Linked DNA regions of Drosophila melanogaster. The protein of the gene in region 1 interacts with the protein of each later gene in a pairwise test. Each region holds a gene or a part of one and is shown on either strand. Other genes may lie near its edges.

Region 1 (10,988 bases):
TCTTCGGAAAACTCCGTAGAGGCCTGGACGTGGCTCACAGCCAGCAGGCCCAAGCCGAGCAGCAGCCAAAGGGAGCGCATCTCGAATGGCGATCTCAACTACAGGGATTGCAAGTAAAGCATCTTTAAAACACCTTTTTCTTCTCTTTATATTTAAACTATATATTTGGAACTAAAAGTGCCTTTATAAATAGAGTACATTATCAAGTCATTGCGATTGTGAAAACCCAAATTACATTGAGATTAGCTGTGGCCCTGGCCCAACTTCCGTTTCAAGGATTGGTTTGCGACTGTACCGTGTGCGCTGCGTCGTTACTGTACTCCACTGGCGATCTTGTAACCACCAAACAACGGGGTGGTTTTACATGCACATCTCGTGCGGCGTCTTTTTGCTCATTGAAAACAATTGAAGAAGCCGCAAAAATCTTGCAGGGTTCAAAAGGTCAACGCGAATGTGGCGCGCAGATACAGATGCATTTCCTTTTATGGGCAATTTTATTTATGGATCTTTAGATCTTGTGGAACAACAAAGCCAACTCATTGATGGCGGAAGATGACTACTGCAGATCTGGAGTTTTTAAAATAGAAACAAAGTCGGGGGAATGGATAAAATCTCAGAATTTTCAATGTTTGCTTTTCATTTCCTGCTGCCTGCTGCAAATAAGCATTTTTCTCGCTTTTTGCAACCGCAAATTTGAAATATGTTTGAATATTTCAGAATTTGGGGCATGTTGAACACATGTTGAGCAGTTCAAATCGTTTATGAAATCATCTATATATGCAGATGCTCCCATTAATGCGAATATACCTGATTAAAGCTGACCTTAATCCTATTGCTAAACACACACACAGGCTAAACTCAAGCCGAATTTTCGTAATCATTTCAAGATGTCGCCCCAGTTCTATGCTCAATCTTAGTACATGTGCTATATGGCATATATGGCACATCATTGGTTGCCCAACGACACAGTTGGCTTATCAGGTTCCAGCCCGACTTGGCCCCACCGCCGCTTATCAGGATCGGTCGGTCGCTTCCGTTTTGGGTAGCACAAGCAAGATGTGCTTAATCGTCGCTTTTGTGCCGCTGAACATCAAGTCAAATGCGCAGCTATGTATCTGGCAATTGAGAAATGTATACGCGATCTCGCGGAATGGAGCTTCCAGGAATATCCGAGAGTGGGATGCTGCTGCAGTGCATTCCACATGTTGCACACATATATATCTATGTATACAATGCAATATATACTTCCACATGTGTTTGTTTAATTATGCCGACGAAACTAGAAACAATGACGTGATGCAGTGTCCAAGATGCAATGTTTATGCATCGCGAATGAAAGTGGACCAAAAGCAGATACAATCTACTTGAATTGGCGGAAGTGCAATTCACAGTTGACCTTGCAAATCACTGGACTTACTTTTGCTTCTCAGTTCTGACCAATTAACGAACTGATTTCATCGAAAATAAAGTCCAATTGATTGACTATTTGCCAATGAGCAAGGAACATTGAACTTGAGCAACTCGAGCCAGAGCTGAGCTTGCAGAAATTTGAGGAACAAGCAAAGTATCTGTATCTGCATATGTCACACACTTGTTTTGTTAATCCGATTACGACACTCAATCCTTTGTTTCACTCTGCGTGAGTACTCACTGTGCGTTCAATGAAAAAGTGTTTCCCTTCAAATGTCTAATCGCGTTGGCGGATGGCAGGCGACTGTTTGCCTGTGGAAAAGCTTCGGAATGATTACGGATCGCCAAAGTGGAGCATGGAGCACTGCCTGCCCATGGTTTTGGTGTCGCCTCCAACGTGTTGGCTCCCAACATGTTCGCTTGGAATAAAAACACTGATTGCTTCGATTTTGGCAGCTCTTTTTTATTGGTTTCTTGCTTTTCAACACATAAAATAAATCGTGTCCTCTTCTACGTACCTCATAGTTTATGGGAAACTTGAGCCTTGGTCTTTTGAAATAGGCCACTCCAGCGTTGCTCCGGGGGTTTATTTTTTTTTTGGAAAAGAAATAGGTTGTTTGCTTAGAAAAGCGTAATAAAGATTCGATAACAAGATACACATAAGTTAGAAACTTAAGAGCACTTATAAAAACTCTAGTTTATCCTAGATGAGATCCGTTACTAACTTACCTTACGAATTAACTTTGTCTCAAGAGTATTTTGTAGAGTAGAGTATGTTTAAAATTAGAGCGATATTTGTTTGTATCTAGAATGGCATAACGGTAACTAAATATAGTTTATGCTATCGCTAAAGAGAAAGAGACTTACATATCGTCAGCTAAAACAAATACATAGTGTTGTTTTTAATTTGTATTTATTTAAAATAAATATGCGTATGGGTTTTCATAGAGTTCGGTTAAGTGATAAATTGTATCTCGATAATGCAGCATAACGAATCTTGCAAATTGTGGACTAGACCTCTCTTATTTCAGTACTGCATTATATATAAAGATCAATTCAAAGCCCTTGGCGTGCACAACAGCTTAATAATAGGAGAGAGTCGAGAATAAATCGTAAGTCTAGTTAATCCGAAAGCATATACATTTTCTTCGCATTTTTTTCGGGTATATACACTTCTTTGAGTTCGTCATGATATACAAATAAGAAGAGATATATGTAGTATATGAATTAACATCGTGGGCGACGAGATAAGAAACCTTTAACATTAATACAGTATATAAGTGTCCGATTCTTGCTTCTTGTAAAAATTGACATTTGTTTTGATATCATCTCTTGTGTACATTAATAGTTAAGGCCACGCCCGCCAGCCCTGCGTATGATTTGATTTGATTTGGGATCCGACTTCGCTCCGGATTCTTATATTCTTGTTTCTTGTTTCTTGTGTTTTTTTTGTTTGGACGTATCTTCTTATTTGAATGGTTTAGGTAATACATAGGCATCTACGATTAAACTACTTGTTTTGGGCCAATAAGCTCAGGCTACAGCTCCGTGATTTATGTCTAATTAATTGATCTTGATTGGCAATTGTTCTTCCATCCTCCACCATTGCACAATCCTTCTTCTTGTTTTACAGATAGAGAGAGAGGTTTAGATTTAAATAGAGAGCCTGTTGTAATTTCGTATCGTATTTTGGGCATTCTTCTACGATACAGAGTTTCATAATTATGTCTAGAGTAATTCGAACTGGAGAAGTGCTCGCTCCTCGCAATACGTTGTATAAAATAGTTATATATAGTCTGCCATAGCTTAGGTCAATCGTAGGGTAATCAATGGTATAGCTTAAGTGTACAGTAAAATCGTAGTTAGTTGTCCTATGATAGAGAGACAATGCGTTAAGTTTCCTGCTTAGTAACTCTAAGCGAGTGTGGCCTAGCTTATGAACGAGCTTACTAAAGAGTGTCTTGATTCTTGAGCTTTAGCCGCCCAAAGAGCATCTAAATCAAAGAGAATTTTAGACATTAGTAATTACACATAAACAAGTACTTCAGACGTAGTGCATCAATGGCGAGTAATATATGCGTATATGGATATATTCGTGGCAAGACGTATTTGAGGTAGCTCTTATGCATAGACCACATTCAAAAGAAACGACTAATGGCGGGTACGGCTACTCACCCAATCTAGCGGCGATATTTGCTGTTGGCACTGCCTCCAGTGGCCACGGAGCCATTGGATACGCCAACAGCCTTGGCCCCAGTTGGCGGCGGAACGCTTCCATTAGGCGGCAGTGGTCCAGCGTTGTAGCCCGTATATGCTGGTGGTTGAGGAGTGTCTACAATTAGTAGCTGTTCAAAATTACATGTCTTTAATAATGGATTATACCTACGGTAGCTGTTGGGCGGACCTGCCGAGTAAGGATTCATGCGGTTTGCATTCATATTGTTGTGCTTGGATGGTCCGCCTCCGTAGTTTTGCTGATAGCCAGTGCCGAAATTTGGTTGTGGTGTTGGCTGTTGCGAAGACTGCTGCTGGTGGGATGGAGGAGCTGCACCCGGCACTGGGGGCGGCATGTTCCAGTTACCTGGAGCCGTCGGCGGTGGTCCATTGTGACCCATGGGTGGTGGCACTGCTCCAACCGGCGGCACCTGTTGCACTGGTGGAGGACAACCCCACTGGTTGGCGTGCCACTGCTGGGCACCCGGTGGTGGCGGTGGTGGTGCATTCCAGCCATTTTGTTGCGGCGGCGGATATGGACCCCAGCCGTTCATCTGCTGCGGCGGTGGCTGCTGGTAGTAGGGCGGCATAGCCGGCGGAGGTGGTCCCCAGTAGTTGAAGTTTGGTGGTGGAGCAGACATAGGCGCCGGTGGTGGCTGTTGTTGGTAGGGGCCCATGGCCTGTTGTGGCGGCACTGGTGGTCGAAAGCTAGGTGCCTGCATATTGCCATTAGGTGGCTGCTGTCCGCCACCCTGCTGTTGCTGCTGCTGATTGAGCGACGGCTTGATGGCGTTGGCCAGCCCACCTGGCTGCTGTTTCTCCTTCTTGTCCAGGTTATAAATGGACTTCTTGACGTCCACGTGAACGTACTTAATCGCATGTTGCTTTTTAACTAAACGGGATGAAGGTTCATAATTAATATCAATCTAATATTTAGCATTTTAGCTTTTATGCTTACGGATAGCCTTATCCACTGCATCGTAGTCGTCGAACTCGACGAAGGCGAAGCCGCGACGCTTGCCAGTGGTTTTGTCAGTAAGCAATTTAACGGAGACTACATTCCCGAATTGGAGGAAGTATTCACGAAGGCATTCCTCATCGTGGTTATCCTTAAGACCGCCTACGAACAGCTTCTTCACGGATATATTGGTCTCGCGCGATTCGCGTTCGGGACGGGGCAGAGCACGCTTGGCTTCCACAGTTCTGGAAGCGAAAGGCCTCATGGTATAGATCTATTCTTGGTACGATATGATCCCCCACCAAGTCTATACTCACTTGCCGTCGATGATGTGCGGACGGTTCTCCTGGGCCCTGTCGACCATGAGAGACTTTGTGTAGGTGATGAAGCCGAAGCCGCGAGATCTCTTGGTGGCAGCATCGCGCATCACCACAACATCGACCACCTTGCCCCACTGGCCGTAGAACAACTTCAGGTTCTCCTCGGTGGTGTACGGGGCCAGCCCGCCGATGAAGAGCTTACGCAAGTGCTCCAGCTCGCATATGTCCTACCGGTGCAGAGGTGGTAAGTGGGTTAGCCAAGTGGGTTGGCATGTGGTGAAGGGTGGTATGTGTGAAGGGAAACAAATATAGGTGCGTCACTTGCCAAGCCGCATACATGCACAGAAAGGTACGCGTATGTACTTACATCTTCCTCGCGATCTGCAAGCACAATCACATCGGCGGACTCGTCCGATAGGGGCTCATCCTTCACCATTGTGTTAGCAAATTAATTATCACTAAATTTAACCGAAATTAAGAAACGAAAACGACCAGTTTGCACGTCGAACGGTTGAAGCGAAGTGAAAATTGTGCTGTCAGGAAGCGAATCATTGATTCGATACACCCACTCTCTCTGTTTGTTATCGATAAGTTGGTTAGGGGTATTCTTGAAATTTCTAAAGTGCCAAGTTTCTTTACTATCGTAATAATAAATACATACACGAATTGGATATGCGATAGCTGTCAAATTGTAATATAGTTTTTCAGAAGCAAAGCGAAAACCGCCAACGTATACTAGCCCCTTTATGCATTCAATTGAGTATTCAACTTAAGTTCTAATGTCGGATTCGCCCCATGAGGAGCACCGCTTGTGCGGTCTGGGGAATCACACGCTGAGGTCCCCGTACCGCGTAATCAGAAATCCGCACCTGCTGAAGTTTGGCCAGCTGATAAACTCGGAGCTGCGGTCTCAGCCACTGTGCCTCTCGTGCTACACGCAACTGATCCAGCTCTACCGGCTGAAGAACAACAATGCGAAGAGACACCTGGCAAATAGACAGGCAGCCAGTGCTATTCTCTCGAGGAGCAGTAGTGAGAAATCTCATGAGTCCGCGGCTAGTGTGTCCACAACACAATCCTCGGAGGAGCAAGAATCAACCACTAGCGCAGCGCCGGCGGCGGCGGCTCAAAGAGCAGGAAGCCAGTTGGTTGAGTCCAATTCTTCCGACGATACACTTTTCTCCGATGACTACGATCCCAGCTCGAATCTGAGTTTGAATGCCGTGAATGGAACGCGGCTACCGAATGTCCAACCAATTCCGAAAAGGCGCCAGTTTGTGCATCTAAATCGTGAAGCTATGGCCATTTATCTGGCGGGAACTACTGGGGGATAATGTTTGTTTCATTTAGGATATTTTCATAAATTAAATTTGAAATAACACTGTTACCATCTATGTAACCATCTATCGATAGTTTCCGCCATGTTATTAGCAGCAGAAACAGCTGGCTGAGCACCAGGGCTGCATTATTGTTTGTTAGTTTTGCTGTTTGGTTTTTAACAAATTTCCTGGTTTTCCCTCAAAAACCCTCTCTTATATAAATAAATCAAGTGCAAAATGCTGAGTCCATAACAACACACGTAAGTTTGTTGGCAAGCAGTGAGTGATTTCTTCGAAAAGTGCAATTCCTGCAATCTGTTATGTTTTCACAATGACTTTTATTCGATCTTAATCTAAACAGTTTAAAGCTCAAATAAATGTAATCAATTAGCAAGTATTAGCAAATGTTAATAGGCGTTGTTGTTTCTCGACGTCGCTGCTGCTGCTGCTGTTGTTGTTGTTTTTGTTGTTGCTGGCGCTGGAACTGGTCATCGATGTCGATGAAATTGGCATCCTGCGTGTTATCCTTGGGCAGCGCTGCCGGCGTCGCTGCCGCGGCATAGTAGTTTAGGCCCACGCCCACCGCCACGCCCCCAGTGACGCCTCCGGGGGGCATGGTCGTGGCAGCCTGACCCATTATAGAGCTCATAAAACCATTGGCCACGACAAAGTTTCTGAAAAATTGATTACATCAATGTACAAAATAATTTCGAGCAACCCCCTCCGGCACAAAAAAAAAAAAAAAAAAAAAAAAAAAATATGGAAAAAAATGATATCGTCTAATTGGGTCTGTGTGCGCATAAATGTCGTAAAATTAATTTCGTGTTAATTTCATGTTGGCCATCAATTAAACTAGTGACATTTCACTAAATTACTTCCGTTTCGAAAATGCAGGTATAAATACCCAGTTAAAATCCTCTTCACGAGCTATTCATCAACCATTAATTTATGTTCATTTAATATTATTTAACTCAATCAAAATCGATGATATCTTTGTACATATGAAACAGAAAAAACGATTCAAATTAGCTAAAGGGGAAACCCACCTGTAGTGCTGATCGATCTGAGCCTTTTCAATGCGTTTGTCCTTGGCCCTGCGATTCTGGAACCAGATCTTGATTTGCGTTTCGGTCAGGCGCAGCGTTTCGGCCAGCTCGAAGCGACGACTCCTGGAGATGTACTCGTTCCGATGGAACTCCACCTCCAGGCGAAGCGTCTGCTCTGTGCTGAAAGTGGTCCTCTGGCGGCGTTGTCTTCCCTCCTTGCGTCGCCTGCGAGCCACTGAAAGTCAAATACATTGATATCCTTACAATTAATACGTGTATAATATCTAGTTGGAATCAGCTTATTAGTTATGTAAACCCCGCACCATTCAGTGTGTACAATAACGACATCCGTCGGATAGCATCATTTTTTCACAGCCCACCCACTTTCGTTTATGTCCAACACAATGGAGATGTTAGAGCGAAATTAATCTTACATTAACAAACCATCAAGTTATGAGCGGGACTAAACGTTTTCGAATGTGGTTGCGTGTCGCTGCGTCAGTTAAACAAATAATTAACCACTCCGATCCGTGGTCCATCCGTCGTCCTCCCTCTCTTGCTCTCTCCGCCCGCCCACCTGCCAGAATTCGTCGTCGGTCGCGTTTGTGGTGCACATTAAAAGTGCATTTACCACGTAGTTTCTGTTCTCTATGTTTTTTTTTTTACCACGCTTTTCATTTCGGCAATCTATGCTGATCCGGGAAAGTTATAACAATGCCAACAGCTGGCTGGCCATCATCATCATCATCATCCTCGTCGAAATTCTCGGCATCATCCGCTCTTTCGAGTTTTCCATTCTGTCGTTTGATTGTTTGCATTCGCAGTGTCGCCGACGATGAAGCTCAACCAAGCGCACATTATGCCCCACTTCATCCTGCAACAACGAGCACCTGCCACCCAGGAACACCCACCACAAACACCCACACCATGGTGAATGTTGCGGTTTAGAGTCTAATTGATGTAACAAGGCGAAGCTGACAAGTTGCTCGGTGGTGTTAGGATGGTGGGGGGGGGGGAGGGGGGGTTTCCCCGGGAAGGGGTTGCTTTGTGGGCGTTGTAATCTCTAGCTTTTGCTTGATTACCCCTAGTCCGGATGGCTCTGGAGGGGCTTAAGCTCTTCCCTGATCCTTGCCGAAGGTTTTTTTTTTTTTTTAAATCACGTGTGTAATTCGATAGCCAAGTGTCCTTTCGGACGGTTTGTTGTGGCTAAAAATGAGTCTTCCTCGCTTAACCCTCCTCGCTTGCTGTTTGTGTTTGCTTTTTTAGGTTTCCTGCCGAGCTCAATTACAATGCTAATTTTTTCAGACACTTGTTATTTTTTTGAGATTGACCAAAAGTTTGGCTTGTAAGTTAGTTAATTTAAAGATCAAGTACTTATAGTAACTACCAAGCTGGTTTAGCATTAAATATATCAACTGTTCTGAATCTAAAAAATGCTTGCATATGTAGAATACGTTTCTGCTCGTAGAAAAGGTTTCAAAGTGTCTTTAACTTTGATTTCTTGCTTACGAATGGCTAACCCATTCACCCTTAACCTGCGATCATTTTCATTAGCCGACGCATTTCCATGTTTCAATATCCCCTCAACCTCATCTCCGCACCTGGCCACCTTGGCCACCTCATCAGGAGCAAACGAAAAAGCCGCAAGTAAACGAAAACTTTCACGGCTCAATGCGTTTTAATTTTTTCTTGGCATTCGGTTATTTTTTTTCCTTGGCTAATTTCTTTGCATTTGGGGGTCAGCAGCAGCAGCAGCAGCAGCAGCTCATTGTGTGGCATTGCTTGGTTGCCCCACCTTAGTTTCGTTTATTTTTTTCCAACTGATTTTACATAATCCTGGCCAGCGCACTCGGTGCGAAGATGTGGGGGATATTCAATATTGCAGCACTGACGATTAATCAGTTTTTTTTTGCGTATCCGACTTTTTTTTTTTGCAGTTCCTGCGGAACCAAGTTCATCTGGGCTGCACCTGCGCAGGCGTGTGAAATGCTCATCACTTCCTCTGGGCCTTTTCAATCGTAACTTTCGAACTCTTTCGGGGATCGGGCGGAAATGTTGGCTCCCCTGGGCTTCAGCTGTCCGCGATGCTTGCTCCTGCGACGTGGCGCCGAGCGTTGGGCCTCACTGGCCCGCCAATTGTCGGGCAGCAGCTCCCAGGATGATGCCAGCAGCAAGGATGCGGCCGCCCAGGAGGCAGCAAGTGGCTGTCCGCCCAATAGCACAACGACGGGCACTGACACTCCCAAAGCCAAAGATAAAACCACCAAGGGAAGGAAGCGGCTCAGAAACATAGAGGTAATGTTGTAAGCTAGTTGTTATCATTGCTATTATAGGTTAAATATCAGTTGGTAAGATTGTAGTTCATTAGAAAGAAAGGATCATCGATCTAGTATTGTAACACAAAACTTAGTGTAGTTCTATGAACTTCTAAAACTATTGAGCAGTATTATCGAAGGATCCAATTGTTATCACAATACTGAAATAACTTTCTATCCTAAGAGGAAAGTGGCTCAAGAGATTGCATATTATATAATCGTTTGCAGATACCTCCCGAGCCCACCACCTGCTGCATGTCGGGCTGCGCCAACTGCGTTTGGCTGGACTACGCACAGACGCTGGCCAAGCTGCTGGGCGACAACGATGAGGAGGCGCGAGAGATTGTGCTGAGCAAGATCACCGACCCGAACCTGAAGATGTTCCTCAGCCTGGAGCTGCGCCAGATGGCTAAGCAGCGGGAGGAGAAGGCGGCGGCGGAGAAAGCAGCGAAGCAGGGAAAGCCAAAGAAATCCTCGCCCCCGCCGTAGTACAAATCCCCGCTCACCTAAATATCTAGTTAGGACCAAATTCGTAGTAGCTCAAATTTACTCTTGTACTTAGTGTGTAAGAACTAAGAAACCTCAAAATAAACATGTAAGAGTTAAGGTTCTGAAGAAGTTATTTTCGTAGTTCTAAAGATTCTGCATAGCTTTGCAAATATTCTACACATTGTTAGAAACCATTCTTTTTTAAATGTAAGTACTCACGAAATGCGGAAAAGCCGGCGCTGAAGTGCGGGTCACTTGGGAAGCCGGCTGGGAATGCGTGTGGCAGGACAGGATTCGCAGCTCCACCGGCGGCAATTGCTGGCGGCGGGCTCACGTAGCTGAGTTTCTGGTGCACCAGCTGCGGCGGATGATGGTGATGATGATGATGCTGCTGGTGCTGCTGGCTAGGATGCTGCGGATAGTCCTTGGCGTGACCATAGAAATCGTAGGCGGGATATGCGGCTAGCGAGGTGCGTTCATCGCTGATGGAAATGTCTGGCGAGGAGACGCTTCCTCCATCGCTGTGATAGGGCGTGTCACAGGGCGGCGGCTTGTGGGCGTGTGTTCCGACGTCGATTTCCCCATTTTCCGAGGAGCGCGTTTCCAAATGCCCGTACAGACGTTCGAAAAACTGTCGCGGCGACGAGGGACGTTGCGGCACGGATAGAATCGTAGTGTTCGCTATGGGATCTAAGCTGTCACTCCTTTTGATGCCCGGCGAGCCGTCGGGTGAGCCAATCTCAACTTTGTGACGTTGCATTTCGTTTGAGGATGTGCCGCGTTAGCTGTCCAAACTAATCACTTGGGTAATCGGCGAGCGACTGAAGTGCCACAAATAATTCTACTTCCGCTGGTCAAGCGACGCTTATCCTGACGTCGACGTCGGCAGAGGAACTGGGTGAAAAAAAAAAACAAAG
Region 2 (8,591 bases), on another chromosome or scaffold:
GTAAGTCTCCCGGAACCACCTGATGTCGTTCTTGCGCCGCACATCGCTGACCAGAATGTAGGGCGTCTGCTGGCGACTCAGCGCCTCCTCCATGGCCACGCGGCAGAAGTAGCCGTAGTCCTGGGCCCGCACCTCGTCGCTCCACACAATCATGTCGCGCCGGTACTTCTCCTTGTAGGGTCCATCACCGAGGAGAGCGTCCAGGTCCAACTGCAGCTTGCGAGCCCATTCCGACTTAATGGGCTCTGAGATTCGAACGATACACGACCGGGAGCCCAATCTGGAATGGAATTGGATTTTATTTGTCTGAATATTTCTGCAGCAAGCAGTGCAAATTTAACAAATTGGCAAGATTTCTACGACTAGCTATGCACTGCACCCACCTCCGCTGCAGCCTCTCGGATATGTAATCCTTGCCGCACTTTCGCTTGCCGCTGATGAGTACAATTTTCATCATTTTTCTGGCGCAACTTTCACTTTTGCTCGCCAACTTCTTTCACAACCGCTGCTTCTCCTGCTGCTTCTGCTTGTGGCCTCGATTTCCTAAGTTCTACGCTGTGCTCATCAGATACTGGATGTGGTTGTGTTCACCCTGGGCCCTGCCACTTGACTCCGGCACTGCGGCCTGTTGTGTTTATGCTAATGCTCCATTCGAAGTCTGTGCTCCAAGTCGCATTTGTTTACCTTTTGTATTTCGCTGGAACAGCAACCAGCTGGAGCGTATCGTCATCGATAGGCGGCCAATCGAGCGGGCTTTTTGAATTTCATTCAGCTCGAGTGGAAACCGTACCGTCATCGATTGGCCGCCAATCGGGCGGGATTTTTGAATTTCGTTCAGCTTGAGAACCGCAAAGGTATTCATAAAATTGTTATCCTGATTTGTTCGCCACGATAACCACTTCACTACTACATTAAGAATTAAGTTTAGCCCAAGCTTTAAAACCGGAGTAGCATTTATTTTTTGGTTCGGGTTGGCCTAACCCCGTAAAATATCTTTAATAGTGTTCAGTTCAGCTTAACATACACTTGTTCACTTAATTAAAAGCCTGCGTGCCTGCGTTAAAGCGTCTACCCTGGTTACTAGCCCCTCGCTTTCGTCCCCCTATCTGTAGTATTGCGACTGCTGCCAGTTGCCACTCGAGCCACCAGTTGGCGCGTCGGTGGAGCCTCCAATCAGGGCACCTGGGCCAACAGCGGAATGGCTGCCACTCGGATTGGCGGGCTGTGCTGCTGCTGTTGCCCCACCGCCGGGTGGCCCAGAACCCGGATTCCCGGCCGCACTGCCAAAGGAGGCGAGCACGCTGCTGTAGTAGGAGGCATCCGCCACCGACTCGGACTGGTGGGGCGTGCCCTTCTTGAGCGTGTGGTGCAGCGAGGCCTTGCCCTGGTGACATTCCTGCGCATTGGCATTGTTGATCCTGGTCAAATTGGCCAGCGTGAGCGTCGAGTGGCCGCCGTGGATGGCGTTTTGGGCGGCGGCGGCGGATCCTGGTGGCGGTATACTACCAATACTACCGATGTTACCGACACCGCCGGTCAGTGGCAGCCGCGACAGGACGGGACGGGACGCAATGGAGGCGGAAACGGATATGGGGACAGACGACTCGGAGAGCTGCAAGGGGCAAGCGGTTGTTTTTTTATAGACAGGACAGCTTAGTTTAGGAGCCATAGCTACCACTCGCCTTGCGCTGCTTGTGCAACTCCAGGCCCAGACCGACGCCGCCCAGATCCGTCATTTTTGGCTGCTCCGCCATGGCTGACAGCTGCGGCTGTGGCTGCAACGGTGGCGGCTGCGGCGCCACATGTCTGTGATTGATGTGCGCCTGCAGGTCGCGTTGCGAAAGGTATGTTCTACGGCAGCCGGAGCTGCCGTAGCGACTGCCGCCGTGCGTGCACATGAACACGGTGCCCAGGCCACTCTGCTCCACGCGCAACACCTTGTCCGTGCAGCGGGGACAACTCTTGATGGGCTCGGCGCGGGCGCACTTGAGGCAAAATACATGCTTGCAGGGTATCATGCGGCCGTAGACGAGGATCGGCTTGTCGCACTGATCGCAGCAGTGGATCATCGGGTTCAGCACCTTCTCGCCGATCAGGCTCACCTTGTGGTTCCACTTAAGGCGCAGCATCGGCTCCGGCGGTCCGCGCGAAAGCGTGGTGAAAGTGGGCGCCTCCAGTTGCGATATGTCCGCCTCCATGTCGACTGCGCGGGCGAGAGATAGCGAGATAGCTTTGTTCAATGCTTCAAGTTTGGATACCAAGGAATTGGTCAAGCCAAGATGTTAATCAATTTAACTATCTTGGACAACCATTCAATAGGGGAGGAGACTCACTTGTTTGGCTCATCACGGGCGGTGGCACTTGCTGCAGGACCTGTGGCTGTTGCGTCGCTGGAGTCATGTTCCCGCTGGCGGCGACCGCTCCTAGCGCACCGTGCGGCAGGGGCTCCTCCAGAGCGCCGGGCGTTTCCAGTTCGCCGTCCTTGTCGAGCTCCTGCATGACCGAATCTTCGGAGGCGTCCAGTCTTCCCGGACTGTCCTCCAGGGCTGCACAGCTGCTGGCCGCCAGGGCTGCGGCGTCGGCGATGCTGCTGTCGTCGATTTTCTTGCCACGACCGCGTCCTCGGCCACGTCCGCGCCCGCGAGCCCTGGTGCCACGCCCTCGTCCGCGGCCGCGCTTCACTTCCTCGGTGTCCATTGTTCACTTGTACTTGCGTGGGATTTTATGCCGGTTTTTAAGTTTTTCGGTTTTTGTTTAGCTCCGCATTTGCGTTTGGCCAGGGTTGTCAGCTGTTCCCACATACGTGCAGTAACTTAGGGTGACCAGTCTGCGCCTAACAACACTGGCCATCAAAAGGTCCGGCATCACTGGTCAGTTTAAAATACAATATTTTTACTTGTTTAATTTTAATTTTATCTGTTTTTCAATTATTTTTAAACTAATTTGAATTTAATGAATGTAAAAAAAAACATAAAAAAAAACAATAATTATAAGCATCTATTTAACCGTTCTTGTATCATATTAATAGCTTACTAATTTCTTTTGTAGCTTCAACATGAAAAAACAAAAGTATTCTGAATAGAAAATGTGAGATCTACATTAAGATAACCTTAAAAACTTAATAATAATTAATAACAAGGTTTAAAATTAGTTTTTTCGTATATAAATTTGAATTTGTAAAATGTTTTTTTAATTACAATTAAATAGTTTTTATTACAAGTTATATTTTTATACTATGCTTTAAAAAAAATGATTTTTGGTATTTGTTGCCTAAAAATATCGTTTATCCCCTTTCCTTATGCTTTAAATTGCGCTCGAATTTATGCAATAACTGAGTTGAGTAGTTCTTCAGCTAGAAATCGGGGTCATTCACCTTGGGTGCAAGGTAGTATCGAATGTGGCCGTAATCCTCGATGGGATACTCCACCAGGAGTGGCCGCTCGTCGGACAGGTAGAGCTTGACGCGATCTGCCAGCGGAGTGGCCTTGGTGAAGGTGTTGAGGTAGCGACCGGCGAAGGACTGGGTCACGGGCTCCTGCACCTCAATGCTCACGTCCATGGCGGTGCCCGCACTCAGCTGAATGTTGGCCGTGCCCAGATCTCCCTTGGCCAAGAACCTGATGCCCTTCGAGGAGCAGGCGATCGTCAGGGACTCGTCGAACATGCTCATGTCCCGGCAAATGCGCGCGAACTCTGACGACGGCAACTGGATGAAGCAGGTGTAGTCCTTTTTCGGAATCTCCATGTGATCCTGGTCCAGATTGAGGAGCTTCAGCTCGTAGTCCGCCGTGCGCTCCTTGCCATCCGACTCGAAGCTGAGCGTAATCTTCTCCGGTCTGTCAACGGCCTTAATGGTGACCGCATCGTCGCTATTGGCGCACTTAAGCACCTTGCCCAGGGATTTCAGATCCAAGCCCAGCGAGACATTGCGATCGCAGTGAAACTTTTCAAAACAATCCGAAGCCAGACTTAGGGCCACCAGCGAAACGTGGGAGTTGTCCATCGATTGCAGCTGGAATATAGAGTTGTAAAAGCTTTATTTCTTATCTCAACTTTTCATTTTCAGTCCCAAGTCTCAATGGAACTACTTAACAGCTTTTATGGGAATTCGAAACAAAATGACAGATGGAGGGTTATTCTCTTCACCTCCAGACCATTTTCACTGCAGTCCAGCGTTCCCTGGGCGATGATTTCCTTTAGTGCATCGACGATCTTCTTCAGCAGCAAAGTCTGACTCAAACGCGCCTCGAGCATTTTTCCAATTTTCAAAATTGACAATCGCTGTCCCGTTAAATTCACAATTGGAAACAAACAAAATGAAGCCAGTCAGCTGTTTCGCTGCAAGTGTAGAGATGCCGGACTGCTGCGGAGTTAAGAACAAAGCTTGTTAGATTAGTTTCGGTTGCGGATTTAAGTTCATTTGATGTCTGATGATGAAGCTAGTGAACATAGATCTTAGAATTTGACTTAAAGCTGTAGGTTAATCCTTTTCTATTTAAGGGTATCCAATTGAAATCACTTAATCCGACTGATCTGGCAGCATCTGCAACACTGGTTCCGGCTCCAGTTCTAGTTCGAGATCCAGTTCCAGCTCGGATCCAGCCATCCAATCCAATATGTTTACGCTTTATTTATTTATTTGTTTATTTATAACCAACTGCTGAGCTCCCCGATGGCCGCCGCGCAGGTGGAGATGCACGCTGCTCCGGCGGCTCCCCATGTCGATCGAAATCCCAGCAGCGACTGGCGACAGTGGTGTCGCCTGTGCGCCAAGGACGACGTGCAAGGCAACTTGAATGTGTTCCTCAAGAACGAGGATTCCGGCGAGGCAGCCTCCATGGAACTGGCCACCGCCATTGGCAAGTACTTCTGGGTGAATGTGAGTGCGCTCCTCGTGGCTCCTTGGATTTCCACAAGCTAACCAGCTTATCTTGATTTCTCTTGCCCCATCATCAGATAACTCGAGGTGAAGAGCTGCCGGAGACGATATGCAGTGAGTGCCTGTCGCTGGTCACCTCGCTGGTGAATTTCTCGGAACGGATTACCCGCGTGCAGAAGCTTTACTGCATCCTGCAGAGCACGCCCAGCCAGGAGAGGCCAAATCTCCACGAGCTGCGCTCGAAATTTGGTTTGCTGGACGAGGAGACGCAGACTGAGGTGCACTATGTGGACAAGAAGCCGAAGTTGGATGAACAGCTCGAGTTTCTGCCAGAGGAGTCGCCTTACGAGCTGGCAAACCCACTAACGCCAGAGGAAAAGCAGGAAAGCGTAGATCAGGAGCAGGATCAGCCGACGGAGGAGCCAGATGAGCAGGATGCCGACTACGAACCGAATGAAGATCGTGTACTAATGAGCCTCTGCGATGTGTATGGCATTCAGGAGGATAACTCTTCTGCTGGCAGCTTGGATGGCTCCTCGCCGAGTACCGAAAAAGCTGGAGAGGATGCAGCAGACTCTGAGAAAAGACACCAGTGCAACGAGTGCTTGCGAAGCTACGCCACGTCCAAAACCCTGCAGCGCCACCTGCGCCAGGATCATGGCCAGACTGAGCCCACAACCGAGCAGCTGCAATGCCCGGATTGCCCCAAGAAGTTTCGTCTACACTACCAGCTGGAGAGGCACATGAAATGGCACGTGCCCCTGCCCAAGCGCAAGCAGTACGCCTGTAGCAGTTGCGACAAGAAGTTCGCCACCAGTGCATCCGCCCAGCAGCACGAGCAGTACATGCACCTGGATGAGCGGCCGCGGCCGGTGATTTGCGAGCAGTGCGGTGTGGGTGTGCACTCGATGAGCGCGCTCAAGGAGCACGTCCTCAAGCACACGGACTACGCCCCCTTCGAGTGCGAGGTGTGCAAGAAGTGCTTTAAGTCGGCCAATCGTCTGAAACACCACAAGGAGACGCATGATCCGCACAAGTACATCTGCCCCGAATGCGGAATGCAGCTGAATTCGCGGACCACCTTGAATCGCCATCGACTGGTGCACACGGATCAGATGCAGCACAAGTGCGACTACTGCGGCCGGGAGTTTAAGCGCGCCAAGGCGCTGAAGAATCACCTCATCCTGCACACAGGACTGAAGCCTTACTCCTGCGATTTTTGCGACCGCACCTTTGCCAACGGCTCCAACTGCCGCACGCACAAGAAGAAGTCGCATCCCGAGGAGCTGGCTGCTCAAGAAGCGGCGGGCGGCGGCAGGTCGCACAACAGAAATATACCCAAGCTGGAGGCGCTCAAGGCATTGTAGGTTAACCAAAATCGTACATATAATGACAATTTCTAAATGATTCCATTACAATTCCGTTTGTAGCACCAAGAACAAGGACAATCTGTCGCCGGTGGCCACCAAACAGAGTGGCTGCTTCGCCTTCGGCAAAAAACCGAGGCCAGCCACCAAGGATACTCCAGCTTCGAATCCCGCCGTCATCCAAGATGCTCAGCCTGAACCAGCGCCTGATCCCGGAGGGGAGAACGCCACCCAAGCTGATACCCCAGCTGCGGCTATACCCACGTTAGATAATATTTATAACCATATCATGATCGACTATCGCTGACCCCCCACTTGAGTTCACCCCTTCAAATAGCACAAGTTTGAAGTTTTGTTTCCAAATTCGCCGTATGTTGTGTATTTATAGCTGTTTAAAGATATAGTTGAGATTGTTTTGCATACACTAGAATGTGTAAGTCGACTTAATAATTAATTTAAAGTATATGAGCTAATGTAATTAGAAAGAGAGCTTCTACGGGAAATTAAATATTTTGCTTATGAGTTAGGATCTTTCTATTTCGGGTACATTTTATTGTTTATGGTTCCGGAATAACTCAAGTGCGCGAGCGGGAAAGTGGGATTTGAACGCATCCGTGGATGGCGCATGTGCTCTGGGTTCCGGAGTCGGAATCTGAGGCGAAGCGAAGCCACCCCCATTTGAATCCTGTCCTGGTATAAAGGAATTTAGTTCAGTTGACAGCGTGCGCCTTCTCGTGTCCTGCTCTTGATGAAAACTTTTGCCGAAAACCAGTAAATCGAATTGAAAGCCGTTGAGATGTGTGAAAAGCCCAAGCAAATAATCCCTGAATCCAACATGACCAAATTGGGCAGTAAACAAAGTGTGGAAAAGGAAGTGTGAAGTGCGTCCCTTTACTCCGACGTGCGAGCCGAAAAATCAAAAAAATCGATTTATCCCCCAATAAAAACAAAGTGCACTAAATGCCCCAAAACGAACGATGAACTTCAAATAACCAAATTTGGGCTGCGAAGTGTGAAAAGTGGATTGAAAACCGAAAGCTTTACGAAAAAATAGTCTTTCAATTAAATATTCAGTGAAATTAGTTGAGAGTGGGTGCGAAAATCAAAAGAGCAGGCAAAGCAGCTGACACAAGAACCTAACAAAAGATCAAATCAAAAATACGAAGTGTAAGTAAAAAAAAATGATCTTAAACAAATTGTTAACGTTACGAAAAGTAACACTTTTAAGTAAGTTAAAAGTTCCTGCGCAGCCCTGGTCCGCGACTCCACAGCTGTTTCTGTGCCACCCCATCCCTGGTTTCGGATTTTCGGAATCAGTTCGCTCGCGAACCACACGAAAGAACAACACCAACATCGCTTTGGCTGCGCGAAATTATCAAAAAATTATTGTTTTTCGTCACTCTCAGCTCGTATTTGTTGTGCAAAGTGTTGCTATCGGTGTTCCGAGTACCAGCAAAGTGAGCGTTTTCGAATTGCACCCTGTATATCGAGACTTTTTGTCGGCGTTTTTCCCACTTGTTTTTTACGCACACTACGCGCCACTTGCATGTGTGTGTGTGTGTTTGTGTGTGTGTTTGAGTGTCCGTGTGAATAAAAATCGATTCTGTTGTAAGTTTTTGCCATTAATTACTCCGCCATATACTAAAGCCACTGCTACGAATCGATGAAAATGTGTAACATGTGTGCGAGAAACCCAAAACCCAAAACCCAACACCCAGCAGCATGGAAATCTCGTCGTGCTGCTCGCAATTGTTGTTCCAAAACCAAAGCAAACCAAACCAGTCCCATGAAAATTCATAGTTGCGTGGGCGGACTCGAAGTTGGCCAGCGGAGACGGTGGCAAAGTCCCAGAGTCGCCTCCAAAATGTGTCTGGTGTCCGTAATCCGACGCAACAGTGCAGTGTGCCTTCCGAATCGGTGCAGCAAGCCCGCTTTTAACTCTTCTTCATTCGGAGATCTATGAAATCAAATGGGTGGTGATTGTGTAAATCAGAATGTCAGGATTGAGGGTCTATAAAGATTAAGAAATAGAGTGCCTAACATTGCCCAAAATATATTAAGTTATTAGTATAGCTCAGCACGGACATTTGCCAAATCGGTTTGCATTGCCAACTCAAACCTTTTTGGTTTGTACTTAAAGATACTTTAGCTATGAAATCTAATCAAAAAGTATCTTTCAAAGAGCGTTGCTTTTGACTGATACAGAGTTGCAAGTTTATGTTCTAAAACATGCCTTATATCTATTAAATTGATTAGATTAAAACTTAGATGAAATTATTGTCGAAACCATAGTATTAAATATACCCCACTTATACACTTATCAAATTCGAGCATTTGTTCCTGAA

Evidence for each region. Proteins that work in one complex are often made in the same cells at the same time.
Region 2: the proteins of SPARC (region 1) and Hakai interact in a two-hybrid assay, tested with the Drosophila melanogaster proteins (one large-scale study listed by BioGRID).

What each region holds. Positions count from the first base shown.
Region 1 is NT_033777.3:26,870,275-26,881,262, forward strand, and holds the start of SPARC (secreted protein, acidic, cysteine-rich), read right to left. Parts: upstream 1,722-10,988; 5' UTR 1,652-1,721; intron 294-1,651; exon of another isoform or gene 236-293; intron 99-235; 5' UTR 81-98; coding exon 1-80. Other genes in the region: Rb97D (ribonuclear protein at 97D), read right to left, coding at 3,591-3,742, 3,797-4,516, 4,583-4,827, 4,900-5,129, 5,270-5,338; ms(3)K81 (male sterile (3) K81), read left to right, coding at 5,682-6,236; ro (rough), read right to left, coding at 6,619-6,895, 7,268-7,502, 10,291-10,831; CG5500 (uncharacterized protein), read left to right, coding at 9,320-9,562, 9,811-10,071.
Region 2 is NT_033779.5:19,579,674-19,588,264, forward strand, and holds Hakai (hakai), read right to left. Parts: upstream 2,802-8,591; 5' UTR 2,698-2,801; coding exon 2,334-2,697; intron 2,231-2,333; coding exon 1,683-2,230; coding exon of another isoform or gene 1,659-1,682; exon of another isoform or gene 1,613-1,658; coding exon 1,103-1,612; 3' UTR 939-1,102; downstream 1-938. Other genes in the region: Pmvk (phosphomevalonate kinase), read right to left, coding at 1-280, 384-457; PCNA2 (proliferating cell nuclear antigen 2), read right to left, coding at 3,353-4,012, 4,147-4,254; CG10366 (uncharacterized protein), read left to right, coding at 4,673-4,879, 4,957-6,242, 6,310-6,553.